Daphnia pulex: one gene and its partner. The protein of the gene in region 2 interacts with the protein of the main gene of each other region in a pairwise test. Links are inferred from orthologs where the notes say so. Each region holds a gene or a part of one and is shown on either strand. Other genes may lie near its edges.

Region 1 (2,799 bases), on a different chromosome or scaffold from region 2:
CCAATTGGAAGAGTAGCCATTGTGGTTCGGCTACTAGCGGCCATAGTGGCGTCGGTTCGTCGTGGACAAGTGATTCTTCTTCTTCTGACTTTTCGGGTGTGAGATGGAAAAGTGAATTGGGCGACGAACTGGAAGGCTTCGTCCACATCTTGGTTGGTTCCTAGTATTTCTTCTTGGCGCACGCTCTCTCTCTCTCTCTCTTCCACACGTTGCTCTCTCGATTACAGTGAAAAAACTTCCATTTGCTCAAGTGAACCAGAGAGAGAGAGAGAGAGACGATTCTTCAATGAAATCATGTTCCGACATACAGACATACACCAATAAATGCTTTTGAAAGCAACTAACTACCCAATTTCAGCCCTAGACAAATCACGGACAGCTCCTCCTACTCGAGGTTATCCTCCGATCTGTTATGTGTACATAACGTGTACAAAATAAATTGTGTTGTATCGAAAATAAATGTTCATCATGTTATGTAACCAATTTTTACGACACGCCATATCCAATACAAAAAAAGGATTGAAACAAAAACCACCGGCCTTATTGTTTATTTGAGTTGGATTTCTTTAAAATTGTGGCAAATGCCGAAACGTTGGAGAATTTCTTCATTTAATGGAGCGTTACCTGGTCGGACCAGCAGTTTGACCTGGACACCGGCTTCGTTGGCTGCAATAGCTTCTGTTTACAATAGAACAAGGCGATAGAGTTAATCAGTGTGTGAATTGCCCTAGTGTATCTCCTTTACCTGCTGGAAGGTCGGTAAGAAATAAAATCTTATCTGGTGCAACTCCAATCGATTTAGAAATCTCCTGATAACTGGCTGACTCGATTTTCAAACCGATTTTCGTATCAAAATGACCGGAGAAGTACTGGGAGAAAAATAGCATTTTAACATTAGCGGGAACATTCAAACTCGCTGTAGTGTGGGATGATTACTACCTGGAGCAAATTTCCAGCAACAGAGTGCTGGAACAAAAGTTTCTGCGCTTCGACGCTCCCAGATGAATAAATGTACACTTTTTGGCCGCTAGATGTCCATAGCTTTAGCGCTTCTTGAACGTCCTCGTACAAACTGTTTCAAAAGGAAAATTAAAGGAATGAATGTTTGGCAATTGTGTTTAATATTTCACGAAAATTTAAAAACAATAATGTGGAAATGCCATGGGCCCAAATAATAATTCTGAAATGGAAAGCAAAAAATGCATTTACTGGCCCTGAATTTCTCCAGATGAATATCCTTCTCTCCACATGTGGCCTTGCAATTGTTTTAAAGCTGTCATCTTTCTATCTTGATCCATATTCCAGTTTACGTTAGTAATTACAGAACTCTGTATTAAGGTGGGAGTTTCAAAAGAACTGGCAATTTCAGGCACCCCACCCATCTTAGTTGCATCTTCTGTTGCCTGTGAATCAATTATTATACATGTGTTTTGACAGCATGTATTCAGGATAATACTCAATCATACCTGTTTCCTCAACGATTCAACATCATCTTGCACTTCTAGTGAATCCCAGTTAGACTCCAAATAACTTTCAAGTTTTCTTCTTATATATGGAAACAGCTCATCCTGAAAAGTCAGTCCAGGTAATATTGCCATTTTACTTAAACTTTCACTTAAATGGATCATACTAATAAAACCTACTTTGACAAAACTGATGCTTGTTGTGGTTCCCTGTAGAAAACAAATTACATGTTCACTTCAGAGTACTTAAAAATCAATACTTACAGAAAGGGCCTAGTTTGGTTTACCTCAATATCTAACAGTAAACATTTGATATCCATTTCTGCCACTGTGTCGAATGTCCAATGTCAAAATTGATGGCTCAATTTAGACTTATAAAAACGAAGTGCCAACACGTGTGGAAACCGACTCAAGCAGACAAACTGTACGATCGAAAATGTAAATTGAATGACAGGAAAAGATTGGAATCAAATTGTAAACAAGTTTTCGCCATCTAGGAACCGCGCACAAAACACGATACCAAATACAAGAGGATATTCAAAATTTCTACTGGTCAAGTTGAGTTGCATAAATTGGCAACGTGGCTTCTCCTAAATTTCACGAAAGTACGTCTGCTGTACGGTAAACGGCGGATTTTTCGTTGGTCGTCGTATTAACCAAGGATAACATAACAAGTGAAATCCAACTTATCAGTTTACCATAAGTCAAAGATTAATTTGATTGGAATTCTGAAGTCACATAAAAGAATAGAAACAACATTTTGCCATATAGAGACATCGCCAAAACAAAGAAGTCAACTGCTCTAACCTTGACCACCGTGACATTTCTAATAAGGTAGTAAACTGACATCCAAAGTCGAAAAAATTCTGTTTTGTGGCTACCCAGTATCATTAGTTAGTAAACACTAATGGTTGGTATTATTTAAAAAAAAAATTGTTTGACTTTGGATATAAGTTTTCTAGTGAACTGAAACCTTCAAAATTTTCTGAAAAAGTGTATTTAATTCGATTTTTTGGCAAGCCACCATTTAAAATAAATTATTTATATCTCATAAACTATCAAACGTAAAAAATTGCAATATGGACCAATCTCTCATTCCATTTTCTAGAGAACCTTGGATAACTGATTGGTGGTTTCATGTGTAAGTTCACTTGTCATGTCACTGAACTTTCTTTGTTGCAGTCTAATATGGTTTAAAAGTATTGATCTGCTCTTACGTCTATCTAATTTTTAAGACAATTTCGAGTTTATACTGATAACTGTTTAATTATTCTTTTAGGAATGTTAGGTCATAGACATCAAGCACAAACTATAGCCTTAACACAAATTATAAACA
Region 2 (3,613 bases):
AATACTACATGTGCGTTAAACCGGTGACTCTGAGGCTCAAATGCAAATGTAAAAATAACTATACCTCCTCCATTGGCTCCATAGCCGTAACAGTCGACATCCATCCTCCACGAAATGTCTTGGCATGGAATCTTCTCTGTAAAAACGATATAACGTTAAGGCGAGGACTAGACCAAAATGACGACAAGTCACTCGATACTTTCAGCACATTTAGTAATCAGGGTACATATTTAGGTGTCCTAAGAGTGTCATCAGCAAAATCCAACAGCATATTTTACATATATGATAAGAAAACCAACCTTTATTCCTCGATTACATTCAAATCAGCGAATTCTGGAAGATAGGTTACAACCAACCGGTGCAAAACCAAGTGAGGTCAGAAATCAATCTAGACATAATTGATCATGAAAATCTACAAACCATTTCAGTGTGATACTGCTTTGGTCTACACTTCAGAATATTGCGATAGAGATTTAATCAAAATATTAATTTAGGTACACTAAATTTCATTGTAATCCTAGGGTCATCAGGACTATTTACCCATATACAATAGGAATTCGTTTTTACCTTCCAAACTAGTCGTCTTCAAGGCACCAATGTAGCCTAAATGCATGATTTGTCTCACAGCCCTTCAAAAATTGTTTCCGATCCTTGCACTCATCTGCCATCATCCCTCCTGGCATTGAAGATATCAACCTAAAATGAACAGATTAAGAGATATAATCAAACCTGTTCCTACATGAGGCAAATTAACAACTTAAATTGACAAGTTAGTTACTAGACAAGAGGAAATTTCATTCGCCTCATGACCGTTACTGCAACATTGATTTCAGACTGAACATGGAATTTCACTTAAAACTACTTATTATCAAACTTGTCCATTTTAACCAAAGAAACCCCAGACCAACCTGAGGCTTCTTTCTCTATAATATACTTCTTAGAGAAAGTCGGTTTTATTAGACTTCAACCTTACCAAAGCAATACACATATAGATATTAAAAATGTTCAGGCTAATTACTGTGTTAAGAGCGTTAACCATATCCTACAACTACGTTTTCAAAACTTAAATGAGAAACTAAAAAATTAGAAAACCCAGAATAACCACGTGTTGATCAACTTACATGTTCAGCATTTGAAGGATTGGTTTGAAATGAAAAGAAGTGACGTTGGCACTTCCATATGTAAACTTCGTTCCCTAACCGTCAGACTGCGTTTTACGGTTTAATTTTTCTACCGCCCGATGGCTCTGCAACACCTTGTTGTTGCATTTATTTAGGTACGTCAATTCTGTTCCCCCTTTATTAAAAAAGAAAGAAACGCGAACTCTTACTGAGAAGCAGGTGTGTTTACTTAATTAGGTCAAAGTTTTCTTGGCCGTTTTGTTAACCAAGAAAAATGGGAATTGAAATAAATCGATTTCAAGGAGAAGTTGATGAAGAATTGTTGTGTCCAATTTGTAGTTCAGTGCTCGAAAATCCGTTACAGGTAATAATGACAGTTCGCTTCCAAAAGCGAGAGTAGCAATAAAATTTCCCCAGAGGGAATGTGATGGATTTAATAGACTTGTAATTTCAGGCACCCAACTGTGAGCATGCATTTTGCTCTGCTTGCATTCACGAGTGGCTCTCGAGACAGCCAACTTGTCCTGTCGACAGACAAAACATAACCCCTCCTCAGCTGAGACCTGTTCCCAGAATACTTCGGAACCTACTATACAGGTTGGTGGTTTGGAAGTTTGAAACCTTATTATCAGTATGAAATTGTACCATTTCTCTATTATTTTTCTAGACTACAGCTCACTTGTGATAACTCTGTTTATGGGTGCACTGCAATATTGAAACTAGATGCCCTGGAGTCTCATGTACAAGAATGTGAGTTCAATCCAAAGAGACCGGTGCCATGTGAGCTCGGCTGTGGGCTAGTTGTGCCAAAAGACGAGTTGAAAGTAAGTGGGTTGTTTTACAGGTTACAACTTTAAATAGTACCTTATTTATGTTGATTGCATTTCCAGGAACACAACTGCGTGCGAGAGCTGCGCTCGTTGATGCAGGCCCAGCAATCGAAACTAGTTGAGGTGCAGGCGGAAGTAGCCGAGGGCAAATTTCAGATGAGCGAACAGAAACGAGAACTGCAGCTGCTGAAGGACTACATGCTAGCCATGCGGAACGCCAATCCTTCGCTGCGGATTCTGGCAGATCAGATGGAAGCCGACGAAGTGAGACGCTGGGCCGAAACTCTACCCAAGGCGAGAGTCCTGCGCTGGGGTGGCATGATCTCGACTCCGGACACGGTGCTACAGGTAATATCCTACAGTTGGCGAGCTCAATACATTCAATCAAATACGATAACCTTTTAAAGTTGCAGGCAATGATCAAGAGAGCCCTTTCCGAATCGGGTTGCCCACCGCACATCATCCAGGATCTGATGGAAAACGCCCACGAACGGCGGTGGCCGACGGGATTGTCGTCGTTGGAAATCCGCCAGCTGAACCGGCGTCAATACGAGAACTATGTCTGCCGGAGGATTCCGGGCAAACAAGCCGTGGCCGTCATGGCCTGCGACAACGGACATATGAATCCAGATATGATATTGGAACCGGGTCTCATCATGATTTTTGCTCACGGTGTAGAGTGACACCCCGGAATTCTTGTCAGATTATTAATCCAACAACATGTTTGTCTTCAGTGTCCTCGCGACCGGCTGGACCACTCCAGCGAGCTGACACTAATGAATTTGTCCCTTTTGTCCTTTAGTTCAGAAGCAGCAGTCCTCTCAACTTACTTAAAAGAATCTGATTTATCTTTTTTCGAATTGTTTATCGTCATCAGTTACTTTCATTGAATCGTGCTCAGTTTGGGGGCTAGGTGTAGGTTTTTATTTGAAATGTTTCTCAATTGGTGTCCCCGCTCTTCGGCGGTTGTAAATGTTCGATACTTGATTAATGATGGCAAAAATCTTGTTTTCTTTCATCATCAACTTTTATGTGCAAATAATGATAGTATATTCCGCCGATGCTGCGGAATAATAAATAATAAAACAATAACTGAGAAGTCAATCGTATGGTATAGACAGTGTGTGTTTGTGTGTATTTTTTTTTTATCTTTTCGTCGATTATTTTTCTGTTATTATCTTTTTCAAACCGGGTTTACTTCTTCTCTCTTTTCAGTTATAATCACATCATCGTCACACATGTTATGTAACATTTTTGTTTTTTTCAAAGTGTGGAAATGGGTTGAGGGTTGGGGGTGGATTTTTTGGAGATGTAATCGCACTACATCACATAGCCATGCTCATCCGAGTATTTAATCACATCACTCAAAAACACTTCCTCTTTTTTAATGAAGTTGATTTTCTTTCTTTTTCGAAACTTTGTTTTCGTCTCCATTCGAATGGCGGAGGGGAAGGATCGGCGGGTAGTGAAACAACATGATACGGGAAGCTAAAGAGATGATTTCAAAACAAGTTATTCACAATTAAGGACAAAATCGATGAGCCAGAGAGAGATAGAGAGAGAGAGAGAGACGTAATAATAAAGTGGTTGGATCGAAATCAAACGTCAAAGAAAAACTACATTGTGTTTGTTGTGTCTGTGCGAACATGTATATACAATTCT

What was found.
Region 1: the proteins of E3 ubiquitin-protein ligase NRDP1-like (region 2) and enolase-phosphatase E1-like interact in binary tests that used the Homo sapiens proteins (3 or more experiments, as listed by UniProt). The link is inferred for Daphnia pulex from reciprocal best matches to the Homo sapiens genes RNF41 and ENOPH1.

What each region holds. Positions count from the first base shown.
Region 1 is NC_060017.1:3,897,097-3,899,895, reverse strand, and holds enolase-phosphatase E1-like, read right to left. Parts: upstream 1,920-2,799; 5' UTR 1,784-1,919; coding exon 1,751-1,783; intron 1,674-1,750; coding exon 1,644-1,673; intron 1,569-1,643; coding exon 1,467-1,568; intron 1,404-1,466; coding exon 1,210-1,403; intron 1,073-1,209; coding exon 940-1,072; intron 870-939; coding exon 746-869; intron 679-745; coding exon 548-678; 3' UTR 533-547; downstream 1-532. Other genes in the region: uncharacterized protein LOC124193642, read left to right, coding at 1-164. UniProt on the Homo sapiens protein: Bifunctional enzyme that catalyzes the enolization of 2,3-diketo-5-methylthiopentyl-1-phosphate (DK-MTP-1-P) into the intermediate 2-hydroxy-3-keto-5-methylthiopentenyl-1-phosphate (HK-MTPenyl-1-P), which is then dephosphorylated to form the acireductone 1,2-dihydroxy-3-keto-5-methylthiopentene (DHK-MTPene).
Region 2 is NC_060021.1:11,015,530-11,019,142, forward strand, and holds E3 ubiquitin-protein ligase NRDP1-like, read left to right. Parts: upstream 1-1,343; 5' UTR 1,344-1,395; coding exon 1,396-1,485; intron 1,486-1,575; coding exon 1,576-1,718; intron 1,719-1,788; coding exon 1,789-1,945; intron 1,946-2,011; coding exon 2,012-2,299; intron 2,300-2,358; coding exon 2,359-2,634; 3' UTR 2,635-3,065; downstream 3,066-3,613. UniProt on the Homo sapiens protein: Acts as E3 ubiquitin-protein ligase and regulates the degradation of target proteins. Polyubiquitinates MYD88. Negatively regulates MYD88-dependent production of pro-inflammatory cytokines.